Linked DNA regions of Macaca fascicularis. The protein of the gene in region 1 purifies or fractionates together with the protein of each later gene. This does not show direct contact. Links are inferred from orthologs where the notes say so. Each region holds a gene or a part of one and is shown in the gene's direction. Other genes may lie near its edges.

The links. Proteins that work in one complex are often made in the same cells at the same time.
Region 2: the proteins of PTPN14 (region 1) and WWC2 purify together in Homo sapiens (affinity purification with mass spectrometry, with the first as the bait; 3 studies listed by BioGRID). This does not show direct contact. The link is inferred for Macaca fascicularis from reciprocal best matches to the Homo sapiens genes PTPN14 and WWC2.

Annotation. Positions count from the first base shown.
Region 1 is NC_088375.1:72,329,414-72,336,750, reverse strand, and holds the start of PTPN14 (tyrosine-protein phosphatase non-receptor type 14), read left to right. Parts: upstream 1-2,323; 5' UTR 2,324-2,913; intron 2,914-3,016; exon of another isoform or gene 3,017-3,143; intron 3,144-7,337. UniProt on the Homo sapiens protein: Protein tyrosine phosphatase which may play a role in the regulation of lymphangiogenesis, cell-cell adhesion, cell-matrix adhesion, cell migration, cell growth and also regulates TGF-beta gene expression, thereby modulating epithelial-mesenchymal transition.
Region 2 is NC_088379.1:188,037,838-188,044,527, forward strand, and holds part of WWC2 (protein WWC2), read left to right. Parts: intron 1-2,474; coding exon 2,475-2,564; intron 2,565-4,138; coding exon 4,139-4,758; intron 4,759-6,690. UniProt on the Homo sapiens protein: Regulator of the Hippo signaling pathway, also known as the Salvador-Warts-Hippo (SWH) pathway.

The DNA of each region.
Region 1 (7,337 bases):
ATCATTGAACTCTCAGCCACATTCATTGGAGTCTCAACATTGATTTTCATCCGAAGGCGGTGTGAAAACAGTCCTGTCCCCAGACACTGGCTTTATCCACTGGCTTTATTGCTTAGCTTCCTCCATAGACTGCCATCTATCTGGAGAAGTGTACTTTGACGCAAGTTTAGACCTGGGAAAGACCTCAGAGATGAACTATTCCAACCAAGCTCTGCTCTCTTTGCCACACTCCACTTAGAAAATAAATTCAAGCCTAGAAGTGAAGTGGCTTGATCAGGCTGGCTTCCGAAGGCTGGTCAGAGGCAGAACTGGAACCCTTGTGTCTGCACAAGAAGGCCAACAAGTCCTTTGCTGCTTCTTTTATGCCACAACAGTCTCAGGGTGCTGTGCTCAGTTTGGTAGCATAGTGGTGTTAGAGCAACAAAATATATTTCCTAGTGTCTTTCCACTAGAAAAGACACCAACACCAGGCCTCCCATCTCCCAGGAAAGAGCAAAAGCCAGAGTTTTACATTGAGAGCCTGAAGGCATTTTCTTATCTTTAATCCTAATCCTGTTTGGGTCCAATTTCAAAGAGATTAAGAGCATGCACTTTAGGCCTGACAGACTAGGGACCTGATCATATCTTCCTAGTTGTATGACCCTCAGTGAGACAGGTAATTTCTTCATGCCTCACTTTCCTCATCTAGGAATGGGGGAGTGCTTTCCACACTTTCTGGAACACAGTCAGGCACTGCCTAATGTTTTCTTTGGAAACCTAGCGCGTCTGTACAGCTATTTCCTTTAAAATGTGAGAAAGTTGATTTCCCTTCAACCTTTTCTTTCCATCACTTTTGCATTGCACTCGGCGTTTTCTCTAATTCTTTATAGTTCTAGAGATTGGCAGATGCTCGAAGAAAATCAGAGTCACTACGGATTTATTTATTTTATTTCATTTTATTTTTTTGAGACGTAGTCTGGCCCTGTAGCCCAGGATGGAGTGCAGTGGCGCGATCTCGGCTCACTGCAACCTCCGCCTCCCGGGTTCAAGCAATTCTCCTGCCTCAGCCTCCCAAGTAGCTGGGACTACAGGCGCACGCCGCCACGCCCGGCTAACTTTTTGAATTTTAGTAGAGACGGGGTTTCACCGTGTTGCTCAAGCTGGTGTCGAACTTCTGAGCTCAGCCAATCCGCCCGCCTCGGCTTCCCAAAGTGCTGGGATTACAGGTGTGAGCCACCGTGCTTTTTGGTTTCCAGTTCTCTTCCCCAAGAGGCCAGGAATTTTTGCATGAGTTGCCAGACACTGAAGTGATTTGGGACAGCACATTCTGTGACAACGACTTCAAGGCTCTTTTTCAACAAAGGACTGGAATCTTAGCAAGATAACATATCCCAAGACATGTTAGCAATGCAAAGGACCACAGAAATCTAGACAAATTCTTTATTTTTACAGCTACAGAAACCTAGGATCTCAGGGGCTGGGATACTCCTCAGTTATCCAATCGGGCAGGGCCTAAAACTCAGGTTCAGTCTCCTGGCTCCAAGCTTTTTCCATCATACCAGCTGCGTCTCATTAACTCCACCTCCGAAAGTGCTAAGGAAGTTCCCTCCCAGTGCCTACCCAAGCAGGGTGGGGCGATTCTGTGGCATGGAACAAACCGGGAAAACGACATTTTCCAACTCTCAGCACAGAGGCTGCTTTTTATCATTCCTAGGGGGCAGGAGGGGGCAGGGAGAGAAGGCTAAGACACCGGGTCCAGTACCCAGAGGTTCTAGGGAGAGATCTTTGAGATTGCCTACTCGGTGAGGCCACCTTACTTTCTCCTGGTCTGTTTTCCCCTGTGAGGTGGCTGCATGAGGCGTCCTGCTTGGAGGGTTCCCCAATATAAGGTGGACTGTCCTTGATCTAGGTCGGGGTGGGCAAGATCCTGCCGCCACCCCGTCTCTGCGGTCCTCGGAAGTCTAGGTGGGATCTTCCTTTCCTTGCCTCTTTCTTCCCAACGGCGGGAGCGGCACAGGGTTGGGGTGGTTGCGGTCGCCTCGCTCTCTCCACTTCAACGTCTCTTACTCCAGGGAGTTTCATCCGGTCCTCCGTCCTCGGCCCCCACCTTTTAAAACATTTTCCAAAACTACACCATTAAAAGTGCGCGACTTCTCCGGGCCTGCAGAAGGAGCTCCTGCAGCCCGGCATTCCTCGGATTCCAGCGCTGTGACGTCCCCAAGGACGGCGCGCCTCCAGCTTGGGAGCTCTGGAGCTGGGGCTCCACGTTTCAGCGCGCGCCCGCGGCGCCCCCGGCGCGCGCCCTCCCGGGCCGCATTCCTCCCCGCCCCCGGCCGCGCGCCCCGCGCTCCCTCCGCCTCCAGGCCCCCAGCGCTGCCGAGCCCGGCTCTGGGGTGGGGGAGCCGTGGCCGCCGGCGCTTGCTCCGTCCCCTCCCACTCGCACGGCCCCTTCCTCCCTCCTCTGCCGGCCGCTCGCATTTCCTGCCGCTCTGGCTCTCCCGGCCCCTCAAAGTTCTTCCCAACTTTTTCTCCGTGGAGTGAGCGCAGGGGACGCAGACTCGGGGGCAGGTTGCTGTGCTCCTCCGGGCTCGGCCGCCTGCTCTGCTGGCTCAGGTCCTTGGGGAGCCCTAGACAGACACAAGTGGCCACTGGCGCTCCTTCCCCTCCCAGCTGAGCCATCCTCCCCGGCCTCCTGGAACGGGACAGCCAGTGCTTAGGTTTTTCTCCTTTTCTTCCCCGGTGCGCCTCTGCTCCGACTCTCGCGCCAGGATCGCGGCGGAAACCTCCCTCCCCTTTCGCCTCCTGCGGCTCCTTCCCTTCGCCCCTCCTCCGCCAGCCACTGGAATCAATTCCGTGGGGAATCGGGGCTTCGCCGCCGCGAAGGACAGCCTTTCCGCGCGGGACTCCGGGGCGCCACGGGGGCCATGTAAGCAGGTAAGCCCCGTCCAAGCCGGGGAGTCGGGCCCGAGGTTGGAGGCCGCCTCGGCGCTCCGGGCGCCCTGCAGATGACTTGGGCAGACGCTGGCAACGCCAACTTGCGATTGGCGGCCCGGGACGCCTGGCAGGGCAGCGGGGGCGCTGGGTGGCCGGGCCGCAGGGGTGTTATATCGCGGTGGGAGCTGCCCGTGGTGAGGCGCAAAGCTTGTCCCGGAGCGAGCTGGAAGGTGAGCGCCGTCTGGGGAGTTTGTGGTTAAACCCACACCCTCGTCTTCTCTCTCCCTTCCCTTCTGCGTTTTGGGAATGAGAGAGGGCCTCGGAGGGGCACCTGGAGATACCTAAACCTTGGGGGCTAGAGGATGAAAGACGAACGACGTCGCGGTCGCTGCAGCGGTAGGGGGACGCAGCTGCCCGACGCCCCGAGTTACCCCCCACCACCACCGGGAAGGGATCTTGAGGCGAGCGGAGTTTTCCTGCCCTCTCACTAGGCCTCAGTGGTGCCACCGAACTCCTGGGCGTCGAGGCTCCTACTTGGGTGGTCGGGCTGGCTCGTAGAAAAAAGCTGTGGTCACACAATTTCAGATCAGGTCTCCACCTCAAACTTTTCAAGTTCTAGGTATTAACAGCCTCTCCTTCCCCACGTGACCCCCAGATCTCGGGTTTGAATACTTGTAAATGGGTTTTACACCTTTTCGTTTGGAGAGAGCAGTGAGGTAACGCTGCCCCTACCTCCCTTTTCCTCTCACTTCCTTCAGTTCCTGTCCTCCAGCCCCCTCATCCCCACCTACAATTTCAGAGATTGTAGGGTTTCCGCTTAAGTCTGGGGACTGGCTGTCGCAGGTTCTTTGTGAAGGTGAGAAATCTCTAGATTGCAGGCGCGGGCAGTTACAGAGTTTCCACCAATGTGTTAACTTCTTGAAATGGATTAGTTTACTCATTCATCCAACAAACCCAGCTTCCACTCTGCTAGGAACAGGGGATAGAAAGATGCTAAACGAGATCACAGGGCAGGAGTCTGCAGCCTAGTGGAGGAAACCTGAAGGCAGATGAAGAATGATAATGCGTGGAAGATGGGTTCTGTGAGAGTCTGAGGCGAGCTTGGTCCTGGTGAGGCGTGCACTGCGCTTAGAGAATGGAGATTGTGCTCATCTGGAGGGTGTATTCCAGGCAGAGGAAACAGCTGGTGCAGAGTGAACACAAGAAGGACCGAAAGTTTCCCTAGCCATCTGGGGGCCCAAGGGGCATTTATGGCCATGTTGGTGCAGTGTTGCTGGGATAGCATTCTCTCCACCCCCAATATAAGAAATTAATCTAGGAGTGCGTTAGCCACTGATGGGAACCACAAGTAGCTTCCAGTGGAGCCAAGGCCTCCCTCTTTGGATACACTTCCATGCCTGCTGCTGTTTTACCACAAGCAGCTGTTGTATGATCATCTAAATTTTAATTGGCCCATGCTCGGTTTCGTTAACATGGTATTGATTATTCTTCTTTTTTATCCCCCACATTCAAACAATGATTCCTTTTTTAAAAGGCTGCTTGACAGCCATAGGTGTGGTAATACAAGGCTTTACGGACCTTGTATTATAAAGTTACCTAATTGTTTGGTGATGGGGTTAAAGCTTGTGCCATAGAAATGACAGCCTTAATGAGCGGGAGCTGAATGGCATGATGCCCTTTTTGCCCAGTCTGAATGGGTGGCCATGTGGTGCAAAATTAGTTCATCTGTATGTCACGAAGTTTGTTATACTTTTCTCTACTTTGAAGTCATTACTATTGCTTTAGCACGCACAGTTGTAAGGACTGTCGTTCTTCTCTCTGAAACTTTATGAAAATAGAAAACACTATCTTCTTGCAGATTTTTGTAGCCTAATGGCCCAGGATTCAGCAAATCCTGGCTAGAAAAGTTTCTTACAATGCAGTAGCGTTCTGTACGTGGTTTGCCTTTCAAGGGTGCCTCTTCACTGGACTGAAGTGGTGCTGTAGTATTGTTCCTAGTGGCTGAGTCCTGGCCGAGGTGGCAGACATCCAGCTTTTGGTGACCTCAGGCCAGTACATCAGAGTAGGAAGAACACAGTGACTTCCTACACCTTTGGGTGTTTATCCAAGCCCCTCGACCAGCATCTTTTCTTATCTCAAGAACAGCCCCTTCACAGAAGGTTTCCTGAAGGTGTGGGGACCTGCATGAGAGACATGGTTGAAGAGAAGCCCTTTCCCGCGAATCCCAGGCATTTGCCCAGTTTCCATCATTGGCTTCAACATGTAATTATTATTAACACTTGAGTTATTCAGGTTTGTGCATACTGTGTCACGCTGGTAGCTGTACTAGAAAGAACAGTTAGACTTTTAATAGGGAAGCACCATAAGGAATTCAGAGAAAAATCAGAATTTTTAGAATAATTCTTACTTGCCCTGGACGTATGGGCTAAGTGTCAAGAACTATGAGGACTTTTTATTTTCCAGTGCCTTCCTTCCTTATTAGAGGTTTAAATTTGCTCCAGGGAAGCAAACATCAACCCTTTGATTGCATATTATAGCCCTCCTGGGTTTCATATTCTTGTCATTTTTGAGCAAGGATTTCGTCAAATTCTTGCATTTGAGCTTCATTACTTAGTCACCAAATGCTGTGTTTTTAAAAAATTCATTTTAAGCCTCAGAACAGTGCTGTGAGCTTTGTTAGAGATAATGCATGAGAAAGAGATAAGATGAAATACTTAATTAGCCAATTAAGGAATGAGGGAAAACAAACACTAAAGCTTTGGTAGGGAGGAAGTTCAAGTTAATGTCTAAAATACGTTTTTGGATCTCCCCTTACGGATTTAATTTGATTTAATTAATACTTCCTCTGTATGCATCTCACCGATGGCTTATTGAATGGTCCAAGGGGTATGTGTGGTAAGTTCTATAGCTTTTCCTGGCTGTCGGTGTGCTAGAGCAGGCGGTCCAGGTTTGGGAGTTTGAAATATAACTAGGTTGGAATTCCAGCTCTGCTATTTTTTAGCTGTGTGATGTTGGATGAACTTCATAGCCCTTCTGAGCCTCAGTTTCTTCATCTGCAAAATGGATCTGATAACATTTAGCCTCTCAGGATGTGTATGGAGAATTCAGTGTCATGCTGTATAACAGCACCTCACACAGAATAGGTCAAGGATGGCTATTTATATGTTCAAGGACTTGTATGTGGCCATGAATGTTCTCTTTGTGTGTTATTTTTTCAGCAGCCTGAATTCACATGTGTGTAAACATACACATAAAGCTTTGTCTCTAACTTTTTTTTTCAGTCTATTGGCTCAAAACAAACATGTTGGCTGGCAGCTGCCATGTGGCCCCTCCTACAAGAGGAAATTGAGAGGTAGGGGACCAGGCAGTAGAGAAGTTTGAGGAGGGAAAGCCACTGAGAGATTAGAAGGGCAGAGAAAAAGATCTTTTTCCCTCTATAATTCTTACTGTAATCAGGGGCCAGTATTTTATGTAAGGATCCTTGTATTTCTAATGTTGAAATCTAGTTAAAGAATGTTAGGGTAACTCTTGCCTTTAACAAGAGTACAAAAGCTAGCTGATATATCTTTGCAGCCTAGTGAAGCCCAAATATAAAGAGTAAACTGCAATACTTCTTGTGTAATGCCAGCCACTGGTTATTTGAACTTTAATGTTGTCTTTCATCTGAGAAACCTAGAGTATTTGACAAACATTAAATTATTGATCTTCATATCAACCTCAAAGTGCAAGGGAATGTTAGAAGAAAGGAACAATGTTAGAACAATGTTAGAAGAAAGCATGTGTTCTTGAAACAGAGTGGCAAAGAATTGGTTAAGTCTTTTCTGCAGGATGGCATGCAGGCCTGGAGATCATATGAAGGTGTCCTACCCCTTTGGGGAATCAGGGGCAGAGAGCCCAGGAAAATGCAGGCCTGACCTGGATTTTTGCAATAGGAGGGGAGAGGAAATGTATCTTGCCCAGACCAGCAGTGCCTTTGCCATATATTGCATGCATGCTGATTATGAAAATAATCTTATAATTATTTATAATTCTGAATTAAAGGATATGATGCAATGCTTGTGGATGAAGGACACAGAGTAGCTGTGTAAAAGGTAATAGTGAGTAAGTGCCTTTTTGTGTGATAAGGGTCGTTCTGGCTCTAAGTTGGGTTATAAATGGCATATTAACATTGTTTTACTTTCCTTTCCTTTTTCCTGTTGGTTCTGTATTTCTTGACTTTTCTTCCCCTGTCAAGCTTTTGTTTGATTTTCTTCAGAGTCCTTGCAATTGGAAAAAACATTTCATAGCCATTCTTAGATCAGCCTTACATGTAAAATTTGATATGTGGTTGATTTAGCTTAGTTTCCTTAGGGGCTAAATTAGGCTTAGGTCAAGAGTTTCATCCTAAGCCTGGTCAATTAGTTTGACCCAGAGGACTACTGCAC
Region 2 (6,690 bases), on another chromosome or scaffold:
CTCACAAATGTTGGGGATTTGCCTTGTAATTGCCAAGACGTTTTAAATGTTTCTTAATTATTTGAATGATTTTGCCACTGCTTCTGAAAAATTTTTTAAAGCAAGTAGGTGGGGACATGAGTGTCATTTAGTTTTGAATGGAAAAGGGACTTCCTATTTCTACAGATGACATGACATTTTCCCTAGGTGCAGACTTCTGAGTTCAGGAGAAGCCAGGCTGTGCTTCCCTCCTGCAGGGCACTCAGGGCAGAGACGGGCAGGTGTGAGGGCCCATACTTCACAAAGGGCAGCTTGAAAGGGGATGTGGAACAGCTGGGCCAGGGGGAGGAATCTTTTAAGGGCCAAGTAGAGGAAACCCTTTCTCATCCAGCAGACCAACAGGCAGGAGTTGGAGAAGAACTCAGAGAGACAGGTATGCACCCTTTTGAGAGGGCCGATGTCTGCAGTTTCTTCTAACCCCTGGTTATGGGGAAGGTGTGGAGGGCGTTTCACATGCAATACACCTGGATTCTGAGGAAGACTTCGGGCTGTCACTAGGAGAGGCTTTGATGATAACATCAGAGACAAACTGTGGCCCACTAGGAGGGTTTCTGTGCCTCTCCCCAGTGCCTTCCTCATGCTTATCCCAGGGAAGGTTTCATCTCAGCACCAGCAAGAACGGAGGGACTGGCCAGTGCACCCTGCACTGCAGGGAGAAAGGGCTGCTGGTGTCTGCCTTCTGGGATTGTAGGAGCCAAGTGGGAAATATGAACAAGAACACAAAGACAGGCACCTGTAGTTCAAAGCAGACATTAAAGGGCTGAAAGAGCAGCTGCTGAGCATCACCTGGAGAAGGCTGAGGACGCTCCCTAGTGATGGGGGAGGGGCAGCACTGAAAGTGCTGGGTCAGGGTCACATTCTGACGTCATCCTGGTGCCCCCTGAAAGCACTAGGAAAAGGCTTCATTTTAATAAAAGCAATATTGAGTTTTAAAACTTACTTCCAAAGTGTTTCTCTTGTTTCAGAAGACATGGATTTTAGTAGAGTTTGGGGCTTTCTTCAGACCTTTGTGCACCTTTTAATTCAGTTAGTCTACTTCATATTACTTTTTTCCTTGTTGAGTTTTTATTTATATTTGAAAGATTTTTTAAATGACTGCTGCTTTTAAAAATACACCTTTGAAAGCCATGAATTAAGAATTTATCACGCTTTTGAAGTATTAAAGAAAATGGCAAGAATTACTTTTTTAGTGTAACATACAATGGAATAGCGGTGTTGACACATCAAAGGGATAGATACCTATAAACAAAATATGGGCATGTTTCCTTACTGCCAGAAACATATATCACATTTCAAAGAGATTCGAAATTAAGGAAATTTTATTTTTCTCCAAAGAAAAGTGGCTAATTTCTATATCACCACTTTGCAGGGCATGCGGAGGCTTTAAACAAGTCAGATTTGTTTTTCTTCTCTGTCGAGTACTTCCCCATACATCTCTTTAACAGCCTTGCCAGGGAGACACAGGGGAATTATAGTCACCGGTTTACAGATTAGAAAAGGAAGACCCTTGATTCAGTGACTTACCCAAGGATAGGCAGCTAGTAAGCTGCAAATCAAGATGAGAAACCCAGATGCCCTTTTCCTGAGTTCCATTCTGCTGCTCACTACTCTGAACTAGTGTATTTCAATGATGTCTAAAGACCTTCATATGACATAGGCTATCCTTACACAGACTCTTAGTTGCATAAATCCCTGGGTACGTAGTATATTCTAAAATGACTTACTATTCAAGTATACAGTTCTATAATGCTGTATTCTAATTTAAAAAAAAAAACTTTTGCAGCTGAGTGTGGGTGAAATTTTATGATAATCTGACACAGATAATGAGATGTGCTATGGGTTGGAAGGGAAATCACTTTTAGCTCATCCTCTTCCTTAAACAGTTGAGCCCAAATTAGCCCACAGTGGTAATGTGGACTAAAATTGTTTCTTAATTGCTGAAATTCTTATCAAATTAGGGTTGGGAATGTTATCGCCAAATATTATGTTGGAACAAGCGTTACTAAATTCGGTATTTAGGGTGACCTTTACTATTGCTGTGAAATGTTTTAGGAAAGGGTTCCCAAGTCACAGATCTGTGTCAGGATTCTTAGTCTTTGTTTAGTTTTTTTGTTTTCATGGTTGTTTCCTCCTCAATCTTCTTCCCCAACTCAAAGGACCATGTTATTTACCCATTTAAAAAGATTCTAGACTACCAGCAATTTTAAATTCTCAGTGACATTGGTGATTGGGCATGATGCTCTCTCCCCATTCTTCAGCTTGGCTGTGTGCAGCTCTGCCTCCGACACTCCTTGCTGAGTGTCCTGTTTTCTGTCTGTGGAGCCCATTCACATTTTCCCCTTGTGATCTGTAATGCTTATACAATAAGAATCTTTCTTTTCTTTCAGTTTTCATATTTTGTTACAATCATTTGAAAATAATTTTTTTCTTCCTAGATTGAGATTGGAAGAGAGAAGAAAAGAGCTGTTACAGAAACTTGAAGAAACTACTAGATTAACTACTTATTTGCATTCACAACTTAAAAGGTGAGCTTATCAGATTTCTGAGGGGAAAACTTTGAATACATTCAGGCATATTCTTGTTCATCTCTGATTACTTTTCACTTTATTTCCAACTACTTAAAAGTAAATAAAATCATTATACTAGTACAGTTAATATTTGAGTGATCAGATTTAAAGTCACATTTTCTTTTTCATGAACCCAGTGTCATATTTGGAATACATTTGAAATATGTTATAGAAAGAAGATATGTTTTAGCTGTCAATACACTTAGGAAAATAACACATTTTTCCCATTGCCCCATTTTTTAAAAAGGGAAAACGGGGGAGTTTTGCCTTCAAATAGCCATAGATTTCCTTATATTGATGAAAAAAAAATTCACTCCTCACATTGACACACAAAGAGGAAAGATGAGCGAAACCAAGGGTCTTTTGTGTGACTTCTTTCTTTTTATTAGCTTGCCTTCTTTTCTCTAAAAATAAAAAGCTTTTTTTTTTAAAAAAAATAAAAATCTACATTAATGTTTTTGCCCTGTTTCTCTTTTTTTCTTTCAATATTTTTTAATCACAAAGTGGCTTCTAGATGTCTGTGCAAATAAACTTATCAGCAAGTATTTGATTCTTTTTATTTTTGCAAAAGGAGGATAATGTTTAATACTACTACTAGCTACTTAAAGAGTATTTGGAGAGCAAGGCTGAAAAGGTTAGTGAAGAAGCATAGACATGGTATACAGTTATGTGCCACATGATGACTGTTTGTCAAGGACAGACTGCATATATGATGGTGGTCCCATAAGATTATAATACTGTATTTTTACCGTGCTTTTTCTAGTTTAGCTATGTTTAGACACACAAATACTACCATTGTGTTATAATTGCCTACAGTATTCAGAACAGCAACTACTGTGCATGTTCATAGCCTGGGAGCAATAGGCTACGCCCTATAGCTTGGGTGTGCAGTGGGCTGTACCGTCTAGGTTTGTGTAAGTACACTCTGTGATGTTTGCACACACAGCCTGGAATCAGTAGGCTACACCCTATAGGTTGGGTGTGCAATGGGCTGTACCATCTAGGTTTGTGTAAGTACACTCTGTGATGTTTGCACACACAGCCTGGGAGCAATAGGCTACACCATATAGCTTGAGTGTGCAGTGGGCTGTACCATCTAGGTTTGTGTAAGTACACTCTGTGATGTTTGCACACACAGCCTGGAATCAATAGGCTACACCATATAGCTTGGGTGTACAGTGGGCTGTACCGTCTCGGTTTGTGTAAGTACACTCTGTGATGTTTGCACACACAGCCTGGAATCAATAGGCTACACCCTATAGCTTGGGTGTGCAGTGGGCTGTACCGTCTCGGTTTGCGTAAGTACACTCTGTGATGTTTGCACAGTGATGAAATCACCTAACATGCATTTCTCAGAACTCGACCTGGTTGTTAACTGACACGTGGCCGTGATAGGGATTTCCTCTGTCCCTGGCCATTGATTCCATTCTTAACAGGTTTCTGCCCTCTGCAGATCTGAAGGAGCCAGTAGGGATTGTGATAGGTTTTCCATTTTGTAGCAGATTTTATGGTGTGTGCTTTTCATCTTTCAGCCTCTCTGCCAGCACCCTGTCCGTGTCATCTGGGAGCAGCCTGGGTTCCCTGGCATCAAGTCGGGGCTCTCTGAACACCTCCAGCAGAGGGTCACTCAACTCCCTCAGTTCCACTGACCTCTATTACAGCAGTCAAAGTGATCAGATAGATGTGGATTATCAGTATAAACTGGACTTCCTTCTGCAAGAGAAAAGTGGTTACATTCCTTCCGGACCCATTACCACCATCCATGAAAACGAGGTGGTCAAGTCCCCCAGCCAGCCTGGCCAGAGTGGACTCTGTGGGGTGGCAGCTGCAGCAACAGGCCACACTCCTCCGCTGGCTGAGGGCCCCAAGTCTGTGGCCTCCCTGTCCTCGAGGTCCTCCCTTTCCTCCTTGTCTCCTCCAGGCTCTCCCTTGGTTTTGGAAGGCACGTTTCCCTTGTCTTCTCGTGATGCCCCTCTCCATCAGTTCTCTGCTGACTTTGAAGACTGTGAATTGAGTAGCCATTTTGCAGATATCGGCCTTGTCGAAAATCAGATTTTGCTGGATTCTGATTCAGGAGGAGCCTCCCAGTCTCTTTCAGAGGATAAAGACCTTAATGAATGTGCTGGTGAGCCATTATATGAAGGAACTGCAGGTAAATGCAGCCCTTTGCTTTCATGTATTCCCTCTTGGTGATTTTAAGGAGGATGATTGGAGGGTTATTTTTCCATATAAACAAAAGGGTATGATTCCCCTTCTCTTTCTTTTGAGTAATTGTTTTGGCTTCATTTAAGAAGGAGTTTTTACTTATATACCTAGATATTTTTCATTATCAAATAAAAATCACCTTCCCTATTTAATAGACTTAATCATTTAGTACCTGTTCAGTTGTCCAGAGACACTCTGTGTGTGGTAGCTGACGAGGAACGTATTTTGTGAACCCATTTCATATTTCCAAATAGATTCCGGTTCTGAAATAGCAAGGCAAAGAGGATTGTCTTTTAAAAGTTGGCCTAAAACAGATTAAAACCAAGGCAATTAACATACTAGCTAATTAGTACCAAGGTTCAGTGTTTAGATTGTTGAGGGAATTCTATATAAATACAGTTTTTGTTTCAAGCCAGACTCTCCTTTTCTGGCAAAAGTTAATTTGGAGCAGCAGGTTGCAGTGTATGGTATTACCCTGCCACCTTCTGGCCAGGTGAACTGTTGCAGCCCCGGGAAGAGATTACTAGAGATTGGAGTTCTTAGGCCTGCATTTGTATTCAAAAAGACAGAAACAGGAAAAATATAATGTTTTGTTTGTTTGTTTTCCTTTGCAAGGCAGGAACTTTGAATATGTTAGATGTGATTGTAAAGAGCACAAGATGGTACTCTTGTTGGCAGATGATCACTGTTGGTCTGAGGAGGAGGATCTGTTCCAGAGCTAGCTTGAGACAGAATGTGAAATAAAAGCCCCCGTGCTAGTCTAGAGGAGTCCTGTTCATAGCTACATGTTTTACTGACGAAAGAGGGCAGGGCTCTTTAGAAGTGCTCTTTTCCTGTTCCTAGAAGCATTTTTATTTGTATGTATGGTCCTAAGAATTCTAAGTAATCGATTGGCCAATTCAGATGTGTAAAGACATTGACAAATCCACCGTGTTTCTGTGGTTTCAAATACTGAAGACCCAAGTGCTGTGCCCTGCCAGTGGCCTGGGGCAGAGGGAGGGCCCATGAGACATCTGTGTGGTTTGTGCGCCCCCTCCTGGGCAGATGTCAAAGCTACAAGTAACAGGTTATAGAAATAACCACAAAGAAAATAACCAGGGGAATGGTGCATACGTAATGGCCCCAAAGAAACAGAAAGCCGTGTGGGGCCTTCACCACTGCTTCTGGGAAGGAGTATGGTTGTGTGTGTGTGTGTGTGTGTGTGTGTGTGTGTGTGTGTGTGTGTGTTAGGGGGTGCATACCACTCCTGGAACCAGCCAAGCCTCCACTCACACTTTAGTCACCAACATGTTTGGGTAAGCACACTACCTAGTCTCTCAGGATTGTGGTTCCTTATCTGCAAAATGGGGTTGCTACAGTAATCCTTGTGTCAGGCTGAAGGATTAATGCGGTGATACATGTGAAGCACCTAACCATGTCTGGCACTCAGCACACAGTTCATGATAATTATTAGTACTCTGTGACAGTGATGATGATAAGTAATAAACTCTGGCTAAACACAATTCTTACCATAAACTATGGAAAGCTATGAGAAGAAGAAAGAGAAGAAAGTGAAATGTTCTCTGTGCCCGTGTTCCATCCTGTGCTTTGAACTTACATCTCTTGACCCTTCAAGCTAGTTTTGCTCTTCCTGTATTTGGAGTGGTATCTACTGACCACTTCTAATGTTCAGTCAGTTTGGAGGGGCAGTAAGTGAGGCTGGATGCTGGAGAAGAGGGGAGAGAGTGATGAGGGGAAAAGTTGCCTAAAGTCTGTCACCCACCCAGTAATCCTGAGGTCTGGGAGTCCTGTCTTGCAGATGTCTCTGGTTGGCCCATGCCTTTTTCCTGACACTTGGGTCTTGCTGTGTCTGAAAAGTTTGTGGCTGGAGACAGGTATC